3 linked regions of the Sus scrofa genome follow. The protein of the gene in region 3 interacts with the protein of the main gene of each other region in a biochemical or structural test. Links are inferred from orthologs where the notes say so. Each region holds a gene or a part of one and is shown on either strand. Other genes may lie near its edges.

Region 1 (3,933 bases), about 150 Mb from region 3:
AGCTACAGCTCCAATTCGACCCCTAGCCTGGGAACACCCATCTGCCCCTGGTGCGGCCCTAAAAAGACACAAAAAAACCAACACTACCCTCTTAAGACCAAAACCACTATTTTTCCACTTCCTTAACCAAGAGTGACAAAGGGTACCTGAATAGGCTCTTCCTCTTCACATTGGCCAGATACAAGAAGATCTCCATATTCACCTATACACCATGCAGCCACCTGCACCAAAGGTTGCTGTCAAGAGAAAATCAAAGGTTTCAGTCCTTGAAAGGTGTAATACAAATCGCAGGTCATCTAATCATAAAGGTCAAAACTGAGGCACATCTAGAGTGATAGTAAGAAGAGCATATCAGGAAAATAAAGAGGAATTTCCTCTCTAAAGTAAAAGTACTTACCTGAGAATAATCACCAAGAATTGCTTTGTACAAGCGCTGGACGGTATAGGCATGCATCTCCACACTGTTGGTTATTAACTGGATCAAGTTGGGAACTGCATCATCACGAACATAGCTCCCTGCCTAAAAGGAAATGCAGACAGTTACCCTTAGAAACATACAGTAATGATAAGAAATGTTAGCTAGTACTGCGGTTGTTCAAAGGAGACTACACAGAACACCCTCAAAGGTAAAGTTATTTCCAATTCTCATTCTCATAATTATACACCTCAAACTTCAAAGTCTTACATAAGTGAATATTCTAAGTTTGATTTTACAAAAAATGAAATAAAATCTCTGTCCAAAGTAAAAATAAATATAAAGGTTGAAAATATCAAGAGGTGTTCCTGGAGTTCCCATCCTGGCTCAGTGGAAATGAATTTGACTAGCAACCATGAGGATGCAGGTTCAAACCCTGGCCTTGCTCAGTGGATTAGGGATCCAGCATTACCATGAGCTGTGGTGTAGGCTGCAGATGCGGCTCGGAGCCCACACTGCTGTGGTTGTGGCGTAGGCCAGCGGCTATAGCTCTAACTGGACCACCTAACCTGGGAACTTCCATATGCCTTGGGTGCAACCCTAAAAAGACACACACACACACACACATACACACACACACACACACAAAAGAGGCGTTCCCATTGTGGCTCAGCAGTAATGAACCCAACTAGTATCCATGAGGATGTGGGTTCAATCCTGGCTTCGCTCAGTCGATTAAGGATTTGGTGTTGTCATGAGCTGTGGTGTAGGTCGCAGACACGGCTTGGATCTGGCATTTCATGGCTGTGGCGTAACTTCTATATGGCACAGGGCAGCCTTCAATAAATAAGTAAGTAGGAGTTCCCGTCGTGGCTCTGTGGTTAACGAATCCGACTAGGAACCATGAGGTTTTAGCTTTGATCCCTGCCCTTGCTCAGTGGGTTAAAGATCTGGCGTTGCCATAAGCTGTGGTGTAGGTCGCAGACGCGGCTTGGATCCCGCATTACTGTGGCTCTGGTGTAGTAGGCCAGTGGCTACAGCTCTGATTCAACCCCTAGCCTGGGAACCTCCATATGCCACGGGAGCAGCCCGAGAAATGGCAAAAAAAAGACAAAAAAATAAAATTAAATAAAATAAAAATAAATAAATAAGTAAAATAAATTTTGGAGTTCCTGTCTAGGCGCAACGGAAAAAAATCCGACTAGGAACCATGAGGTTGCAGATTTGATCCCTGGCCTTGCTCAGTGGGTTAAGGATCCGGCATTGCCATGAGCTGTGGTAGAGCTTGCAGACAAGGCTACATCTGGCATGGGTGTGGCTGTGGCATAGGCAGCCACAGCTATGATTAGACCCCTAGCCTGGGAACCTCCATATGCCATGGGTGTGGCCCTAAGAAGACAAAAAATAAATAAATAAATAGTATTTTAAAGTTAAAAAAGAAATTAAAAACAAGAAAAAGAGCAATCAAAAAAGATTTAAAAATTATAAAAAATTTAAAAACATTAGCAAATCAAATAAAGTAATGTATAAAAAGAATTATATGGTACAACCATGCAGGATTTATTCTAAGTATGGACACCTGCTTTGGTATTTGAAATTCAATTAAAGTCAACTGTACTTTAATTAATAAATACTTTTAAAAAAAATCAATTACTGTAACCTAGCACATCAACAGGCTAAAAAATAAAAAGCGTATGATTATAATCAAAGAACTTAAGTCAACTGGACAAATAAAAAGTTGGCGCATTTTTCTTAAAAAAGAGGTTTGGGAGTTTCCTGATGGCATATTAGGTTAGGGATCCAGTGCTGTCACTGCAGTGTCTAGGTTTGCTGCTATGGCACAGGTGAGATGCTTGACCAGAGAACTTCCATATGCCACAGGTGCAGTCAAAAAAAATTAAAAATTAAAAAAAAAATGTTTTAAAGTATGACAAAATATTAAAAAGAGGGTTTAGAAAAACGAGGACCCTGAATTCTCAAATACTAAACATTCCTTAGTTTTAAAAGGTTTTAATTTTCATAATCATTCTTCTTCAGGAGTTCTAATTTTTCCCTTCTTTTGAGCCTCATAAAACCTTTAGGAGTTCCTGTTGTGGCGCAGCGGAAATGAATCTGACTAGGAACCATGAGGTTACAGGTTCTATCCCTGGCCTCACCCAGTGGGTTAAGGATCCAATATTGCTGTGAGCTGTGGTGTAGGTCACAGATGCAGCTTGCATCTGGCGTTGCTATGGCTGTGATATAGGCCAGCAGCTATAGCTCCGATTAGACCCCTAGCCTGTGAATCTCCACATGCCACAAGTTTGGCCCTAAAAAGTCAAAAATAAATAAGCAAATAACAACAACAACAAAAAAACCTTTAAAAAATATGTCCTGATTGATTCATCCTATCTTTTAAAAAATAGTTCCTTATTATTAAGTACATTTATTACCTTTTACAAAATTAACTCATTGTAGAGAAAATATTTAACTGAAAATTTTATTATTTTATTATTATTATTATTTTTTGTCTTTTTGCCATTTCTTGGGCCGCTCCCACAGCACATGGAGGTTCCCAGGCTAGGGGTCCAATCGGAGCTGCAGCCGCCAGCCTACACCAGAGCCACAGCAACACGGGATCCGAGCCGCGTTTGCAACCTACACCACAGCTCACCACAACACCGGATCCTTAACCCACTGAGCAAGGGCAGGGATCGAACCCGCAACCTCATGGTTCCTAGTCGGATTCGTTAACCACTGCGCCACGATGGGAACTCCTAACTGAAATTTTTAAACAGTTAACGATAACATTCTCTCCTACAGATGTTTCATAATTTATTTAACTCATGCCCAGCTGGAGACTCCTAGCTGTTTCCAATTTTCTCCTAGTATAAATAATATTAGGATGAACACCTTTGTATATACATTTTTGTACCATGTCCCTTTGTTTTTCCAAGACAAAGTCCTAAAAACAGAATTAACAAATTAAAAGGTATAAACAAAGACTTTTGCTACACACTATCAAACCGTATTCTGGAAAGATGACACCATTTAAACCCACAAAGCAGTTCCTATTGTGGCTCAGTGGGTTAAGAATCTGAATAGTATCCACAAGCATTCAGGTTTGATCTCTGTCCTCCGTCAATGGGTTATAGATGAGCCACAACGCGAACAACTTTGTAGATTTTTTTTTTTATTTTGTTATACAAGTTTTAAAATTTCATGTGGTCAAATTTGGCCTTTTTAAAAAAAAGAAAAAAAAAACAGTTGTTTTCTTTTTTTTGCCTTTTGCTTTTTTAGGGCTACACCCTCAGCATATGGAGGTTCCCAGGCTAGGGGTCTAAGCAGAGATACAGCTGCCGGCCTACACCACAGCGACAGCAACGCCAGATCTGAGCCATGTCTGTGACCTACACCACAGCTTATGGCAACGCCAGATCCTCAACCCACTGAGCAAGAGGCCAGGGATTGAACCGGCAACCTTATGGTTCCTAATCGGATTCGTTTCTGCTGCACCACAACGGGAACTCCCATATAGT
Region 2 (3,933 bases), about 15 Mb from region 3:
TATTCTGGCCAAACTATGTATTTTTAAATTTTGCCATCAGGAAAATTAAAGTTCTTGGAGCAAATTCTTAACTTGCAACTTTCTCAACAACAGGTAACTCTCCTGATTCACCAGGCTGTTAGTGCTGTTGACACTCGATCTGTGACAGTCATCTTGCTGTGAATGAAATTTTAAAAGTAGGCACAATGGTATCCAATTAAACAGAGTTTGAGAAGGATAGGGAAAGTTATTCCCATCAGGCTAAGTGCTACAAAAAAGCAGGTGGGGATAAGCATTGCTACTCTTTAAAACCAGAGATTACATCCTACTCGTTTAAGCCTAAATTTACATTTCTCCCAGTCTGCGTATATTTCATCAATAAAAGATTAACGAGCAAATAAACTGGGACTTAATTAAGGAGATAAAGGTGCAAAGTTTTATTTATTCATGAGCTTCATTGGCCCAGTTCTGTCTTCCATTTAGAAATTCAATCCTTTGATACCAGCAAAGTATAGTTCTTTTCCAACTCAATTATTAAGAATCAATAGTCTTTACGGGTAACATTTTAAAGTGATTTTAAATAAGAATAGGGAAGCTAAACATTAAAACAATAACAAAACTCCCAAGGATTCCAGAAAGAAATCTAGAGCTGTCTTCGCTCATTAGATCAGTGGTCAGCCAATGCAATGAAGCGAGCACCTCCCAGAGCCTTGTGGAAGGTGCTGGAGGAGAGAGGTGAATTACAAAGCTGTCCTGACCTGTTCACCCCTCCCTTGACTAAAAGTCTTGCTTTGAGGAGAGCAGAGTGGCCAGGCCATTGGAAAGGGGGGCTTTATTTTTTGAAAAGTTATTTCAGAAAACTCAGAGCATGGCCTAGAAAAAAGAATTCCATCCAAGAAGATGGAAACACACCCCTCTTTGACAGTGGACAACCATCTTTGGGATTGAGGTCTGAACGTAAAATTTTACCTAATGGTCATTTATTATCTTTAGAGATAAGTAAGGAGACTTACATCCCCCCAAAGAGCTAAAAAAGCAGTAGAGGTGGAGGCTCTAACCCTCCAGAATTATAGAAAGGAGCACAGAGGATAGGTTTGGAGAGAATTTTGGTGATGTTGTTGATGACACTGGGCAGTAGAGGTGGGTGTCAGTTTCAGATAAGTTTGGGATGTTTTGTCACTAAACCTTGCAAGAGGGTCTGGAGAGCGTAGTGGTTAAGAACCTAGGCTTGGGATAAGACAGACCGGAGAATGGATCCCAAATATATCATCTCTAGCTGTGTAAATGTGGTCAAATGACTTAACATCCATAAGCCTCGGTTTTCGTGTCTGCAAAAGTGGTGACTGAGAATATTTCCCTCATGGGGTTGTTGTGAGGATGAAATGATATGCATGGTGCCAGGATAAGAAACTATAGCTATTGTTCGTATTGGCAAAATAAAGGCTCTCAGAGTGTCCCAGGGTCAGGAAACTGACTGGTTTTGTTTTAACACAATGTTTCCCAAACTTGTTTGAGTATTGAGTGGTTTTCCCTTTTTGGTTGGGCACAGGAATACCTAATGATATAAAACACTGGTTTTGTTTACAGTACAGGTGACTCTCCAGTCCTCCTTGATTGGCTTGCATGCTCTCACTTTAGAGCACAGGGCAATTAGCAAAGAACACGCCTTGACAGATACTCCATTGAAAGTGGAAGCAGAGATAACTATTAGCCTAGAGACAAAAGCCTTTCCTTTCTGTCTCTTACTAGATCTAAATAACTTAAACTTGGTCGCCTCTTTCAAAGTAAATGAAACACAAATAGCTCTTGACACCGCTGGGAAGGTATCTAAACAAAACCCACAGGAACAGGAGGGAGGGCATTGGAGGATGTTGGCAGACAAACATGAGAACCAGTAGAATAAATGATATGGAAGACACATTAGAAAAATCTTGATCTTTTCCCTGGTATACATGGCAGATCATCCTTTCATAGAGAACACAAAAGGAAGTTTCAAATAAGGAAAACCAAAAAAATCAGATTCAACAACAAAGTTTGCATGTGGAGTCCCCAGATGTACGTTTTGGTTGACCTGCTCCATCATCTGTCACCACACTTGGAGTTAAGCTCATAGGCTGATGAGCATGTTGATGACGACATCAGAGAGCAGTTTGTTTCAGCAGCAGCTTGATGAGGCTGAGGATGCGGTAAGGCATTCTTTTTTTTTTGCTATCCTCTAAAATCTTTTCACACCCTCCTTTTTCTCTGAAGTAATGATAGGGGTTAACACCGTTCCCTCTCAATAAGAAAAACGCAACACAGAAAAAATTAGGAAACGCATTGACCTACAGAGAAACAGGGCTCTTGAAAAACATACAAGCGTAGATGTATACGATGATAAATTGAATAATGTCTGAGGATCTGTAATCAACTGTGGTGACTACAGTTGATAGGTGACTACAGTTGATAACACTGTATCGTATGATTGAAATTTGCTGAGAGTAGAACTTAAATAGTCTCATCAAAAAAAAAAAAAAAGTAAATATGTGACGTGATGGGCTGCTAATTAACTGGGTGGGAAAAATCCTTCCACAATGTCTGTGTGTATCACATCATCACATTGTACACTTTAAAGATCTTACAATTTTATTTGTCAGTTTCACCTCAGTAAAGCAGAAAAACACTAGGGCCCTTGGGGAGGCCTCTGACGAGGAAATCAGACACTTAACGTGAAACTCACGCTAGGAAACCTGTCTTTCTAGAACTTTCCTGAATTCTAAACAATGACATGGCAGGTTTCTCTGAAAAACATACACTTAATGGCAGGGCAGAAGGCAGCGCCCTCCTAAGGGCGGGGAGCACAGGGCAGGACACATCCACAGACTTGCACTATGACTGCGAGCATTTGATGGACTGGGACATGCCACCGGGCATAGGACACCCACACCAAAGGAGGGATGGCTGAAGCTCTAAAGTCAGCGGCCAGGCAGGAGGAGGGTGTTGCTCACACGGCAGCAGCCACGGCCATTCCCGGGCACACGAAGCACACGCAAACAGTAAGACGTACCACTGGTGGTCCCCGTACCACTGCCCGAGCCGGGTCCGGGCGACGAAACCACAGTCCTGTAGGTGGGTGGGGGTGGGGGAGGCGGCGTTGCTCTCTGTCCCAACCCAAAATCTTTCGGAGAGGAGATTGTTTCTAAGTAATCATCTTTAATGAAGGTCTGCTCGGCCACTTTCTTCTGGACCTCTTCTAAATTGAGCGGCGATGGTACATTGCGAGGCGGACCCGGAGGTCCTGGGGGGCCTGGCGGGCCAGGGGGAGCCGGGGGGCCGGGAGCTGGGGAGTCGGCTGGGTTGTCTGATGCAGCTGGTGGGGACGCCACCTTTTCCCTTGGAGTCAACTCTGGAGTAACACGTTCCGGGGATGTGTCAGAAAATTGGACCCACTTATCTTCAGCGTTAACAGCAACAGACTTGGGGGACAACACTGGGCCAAAAATGCTGTCCAAGTCATTGATTGATGGTAGTTTTTCAATTTTGACCTCTGTGGCTGACTGGTCATTTCCTGTGGTTAAAGTAGTTGATTTTAAACTTTAATTACTTTGTTAAAATTATTTGTGGGGGAAGTGGGAGGGGCGAGGCAAAGGCTGGTAAATAGATTGTCTCCTGAGGTGTCTAGGTGGGCAGACTTCATGATGGAAAAATTCTTTTTTTTTTTTTTTTTTTGCCTTTTCTAGGGCATATGGAGATTCCCAGGCTAGGGGTCCAATCGGAGCTGTAGCCATTGGCCTACACCAGAGCCACAGCAACGCCGGATCCTTAACCCACTGAGCAAGGCCAGGGATCAAACCCGCAACGTCATGGTTCCTAGTCGGATTCATTAACCACTGTGCCACGAGGGGAGCTCCCATGATGGAAAAATTCTTGATTGGAGTTGAAGGGGAGGGGAAGGTCCCCTGCCTCTACAATTGA
Region 3 (3,933 bases):
GTCTTGACAGTTACAAATGAAACTGATGGAAATGAAAGAACTGGAAAACAATAATAATCAATCAAATTGGTGCAGTAGCCCACACAGCATTCTTGTAAATGGCACTACAGATTATTGCAGCCTCAGCACCAGCAGCAGTGAAACAGCCAATCTTAATGAGCACGCTGAAGGCCAGAGCAACCTAGAGTCTGAGCCCATACATCAGGAGTCCCCAGTGAGTCTAATAGCTCCTTAACTTTCACAATCGTCTTCAGGAAAAAAACATTGACTCAGATCAAAGTTTTGTTGACATCATACCTAATATAAATATGTGACCTTGCTTCATCTGGGACAATTGAGATTTTTTTTTTTTGAGAGACAGAGAGTGGGTTCTCACAGTTTTACCTAATGTAAAAATGTAATTTTTAATGATCCATTTGTTACAGAGCATGTTTTCGAAACAGTGGTTCTATAGATAGTAACTTTTTAAAATAGTTTTTAAGTACTCTCACCCAAAGCTGCAAGTAATTCTCTATTTCATAATGTTGAGGACATTTATTTACTAATTATTTGGAGACTACCAGCTAATGCAAGTGTGCAGTAGTGTTAGCGTGAAAGCTGCAGAGAGAAAAGACCTTTAACCCTGTCAAGCATACAGCCTAGCTGTGTGTGTGACACCAGGTTAAAAGGCTATGAAAAAGTAAGCATAAGGTATTCAGGTAGAGCAGCTTAGAGGAGGCTCAGAGATGTTGGAAGGAAAGTTTTACATGTGACCTTTCAAGTGTGGAGGGGTTAACAAAGGAGAAGGTGGTACATTCCTCGCATAAGCATAGGTATGAGATGGGAAAAAATACACTGTACAAGGTCATGAGAAGCTGTCGGAGGATATTTTTTGCTAGTGGGAAGTGTATTGGTGGGAGATGAGGCTCTGGTACTTAAGCAGAATAGAGGTGTCTGTGACCCCCTCCAAACTTGTTGAACTATAGTGTCTGGGTTGGAGCCAAGTACATACATTTTAAAAACAAATTCTGTGGGTGATTATGATGTGTACCTGGATAAAAATGACCACTTTTAGGTCAGAAAGGGCCGGAGAGTAAGACATTTGGATTCATCTTGAAGCATTGGGGAATTTGTCTTATTACAGTGAGTAGCCATTGAATTTTTAAGCAAAAAGTGACAAGATTAAATTTACCTTTTAGAAAATGTGGATAACGGAGAGCAGGACTGGACACACAGGGATATATTGAGAGACTGTTGGAATGGTTTCTGTAAGAATTGTTTTAACCTAGACTTAACCAATTACAGGAGGGATGATGAGAAGAATACAAATTTCAGAGATATTAAGAATGGAAAATTAACAGACTTGATTTTATTTAGATACTGTAGTCTTGGATATATTACACGATATTCCTTTAAGTGCAAAATGCAAATTACTAAGTTATCCTTCTAAGATACAGGGTGTATGAAATGAACATTGCCCCTTCCACTTTTTTTTTGACCTTGCCTGCAGCATGGGGAAGTTCCTGGGCCACAGATTGTAGCCTTGCCACAACATTGACCTAAGCTGCTGCAGTGACAACCCCAGATCCTTAACCTGCTGCACCATAAGGGAACTCCATCCAGGCCACTTCTTAAGCCTTACTATCTACTGATCTAAATCCAGAAAGCAGTGGGAAGCCCCTTGAAGGACTTTAAACCAGAGGGTCAGGATCAGATTCACTTTTTAGATCTATTACTTTGCCTACTCTAAGAAGGATCAATGGAAGGACACATTAGAGGCAGGAAGGCAGTTGGAAGGTTATTACTACAGTAATCTGGACCAGAAATGATGATATGGTAAGTGGATGATAGTGACAGTAGGGAGAGGGAAGAGGGAAGGATTTGAGAACAAGGTAGGAGGTAGACTCAGCAAGACTTGGAATCTAGCTTGGGAACGACCAAAGGGAAGTAGTTAAGGAAGACCTGAAGTTTTCTGGCCTTGAAAATTTTTTTTTTCTGGCCTTTTGTTTTATTTTTATTAGAGTACAGTTGATTTACAGTGTTGTAATTTTATTTTAATTTTATTTTAATTTTTATTATGGTCGATTTACAGTGTTGTATGGCCTTGACCGACTTTGATGCTTGGTGATACCATTTTCCTAAGAAAGATTATATAGAGGCAGGCATTCGGTGAATAAGTTCTGTTTGTCTTTTTAAATTTTTTAGTAATTTTTGGCTATTTTTTGTCAGTTTCCTCTGCCAAGTAGAAAATACATTGTTAGTCCATGCAGAATTAATATTTTGTAGGCAAGAAGTAGTCCTGAAATACTGCCTTCTGGTGTGACTGATGAAAACGAAGTGGTGACTGCAACTGTTAATGAAAAAGTTTGTCCTGAATTTAATAGTGACGGACATTCAAAAGAGGTAAAATAATTTTATATGTAAATGTTCTTATCACTGGCTTCCCAAGATGGGTTTTGATACATTACTTTAGGCAACATGTTATTTTATTTTAAAATGTAAAAACTTTGGTTTCTAAAGCTTTTTTTTTTAATTTAAAATTATTTTCAGGAAGATCCATTTAATGTAGAATCAAGTTCACTGACAAATCCAGTTGCAGATTCAAACTTGGATTTTTTCCAGTCTGATCCTTTTGTTGGCAGTAAGTATTCTTATTTTTATATTATTGATTTATCAGAAAGGCTTTTTTGTTTCTGTTTTTGTTTTTGTTTTGTCTTTTTAGGGCCACACCTAAAAAGACCACACCATATGGAAGTTCTCAGGCTAAAGGTCAAATTCTAGCTGCAGCTGCCGGCCTACACCGCAGCCACAGCAACTTGGGATCCGAGCCACATCTGTGACCTACATCACAGCTCATGGCAATGCCGGATCCTTAACCCACTGAGTGAGGCTGGGGATCAAACCCACATCCTCATGGATACTAGTCAGGTTCGTTATCAGTGAGCCACAAGGGGAGCTCTCTATCAGAAAGGCTTAATTAATTAATGCATAAACTATGTAAGAATTAGGCTTTGAGAACCTACTTGTTAAAACAAAAGTAGAAGGGAGAATGAGGATTTATATGCTCAGATTTTAGTATTTGTCCTCTTTTAGGCAACTAAATCCCAGAACTAAGTCTTGGGTTATGTCTTAAGAACCCCTGATTAAGAGTATGCTTCTTTGTCAGAATAGGGGCCAAAAGAAAGAAAGGAAATTGGGCATTCTTAAGTCAACCAACAATTATTTACCAAAAGTGCCAACACCATGCTTTTAAAACAGTGGTTAGCAGCCCAAATTCCTACTCTTAAGGTGCCAACAGTCTTAACTGAAGAAACATAAGTTTAAAAAATTAAAATATCTGATGTCATTGTAAACTACATTAAGTACTACTTGTGTCAAAGCTCTTTTTGCTTTTTATTTATTTCCAAACTCACCTTGTGAAACTGATACCTCAGTTTTTATCAGTTCTAAAGATGAGAAACTGAGGCATATAAATAGAAGAATTTGCTTAGAGTCAAGACAGAAATGAGCCTAGAAATTAGAACTCTCTTTTTTTTTTTTTTTTTTTTTTCTTTTTTTGCCATTTCTTGAGCTGCTCCTGCGGCATGGCATGTGGAGGTTCCCAGGCTAGGGGCTGAATCGGAGCTGTAGCCACCAGCCTACACCACAGCTCACAGCAATGCCGGATTCTTAACCCACTGAGCAAGGCCAGGGATTGAACCTGCAACCTCATGGTTCCTAGTCAGATTCGTTAACCACTGAACCACGACGGGAACTCCTAGAACTCTTTTTAAAAGAAACATCTTTACCGATAGATATAAAATGTTAAAAGATGTATAAATTGAGCATTTGAAGTATACAATTAAATGGTTTGTGTACATTCACAGAGCTGTATAATCCTCACTAAAATCATTTTGGAACACTTTTAATCACCCCACAGAGCAGCTCCATACCCATTATAAGTCACTTCCAGTT

The links.
Region 1: the proteins of EPS15 (region 3) and AP1G1 form a complex in vitro, tested with the Homo sapiens proteins (2 studies listed by BioGRID). The link is inferred for Sus scrofa from reciprocal best matches to the Homo sapiens genes EPS15 and AP1G1.
Region 2: the proteins of EPS15 (region 3) and SGIP1 form a complex in vitro, tested with the Homo sapiens proteins (2 studies listed by BioGRID, with this or other methods). The link is inferred for Sus scrofa from reciprocal best matches to the Homo sapiens genes EPS15 and SGIP1.

Annotation. Positions count from the first base shown.
Region 1 is NC_010448.4:14,740,230-14,744,162, forward strand, and holds part of AP1G1 (AP-1 complex subunit gamma-1), read right to left. Parts: intron 521-3,933; coding exon 398-520; intron 237-397; coding exon 147-236; intron 1-146. UniProt on the Homo sapiens protein: Subunit of clathrin-associated adaptor protein complex 1 that plays a role in protein sorting in the late-Golgi/trans-Golgi network (TGN) and/or endosomes.
Region 2 is NC_010448.4:145,894,530-145,898,462, forward strand, and holds part of SGIP1 (SH3-containing GRB2-like protein 3-interacting protein 1), read right to left. Parts: intron 3,527-3,933; coding exon 3,026-3,526; intron 1-3,025.
Region 3 is NC_010448.4:160,761,757-160,765,689, forward strand, and holds part of EPS15 (epidermal growth factor receptor substrate 15), read left to right. Parts: intron 1-10; coding exon 11-214; intron 215-2,265; coding exon 2,266-2,382; intron 2,383-2,529; coding exon 2,530-2,620; intron 2,621-3,933. UniProt on the Homo sapiens protein: Involved in cell growth regulation. May be involved in the regulation of mitogenic signals and control of cell proliferation. Involved in the internalization of ligand-inducible receptors of the receptor tyrosine kinase (RTK) type, in particular EGFR.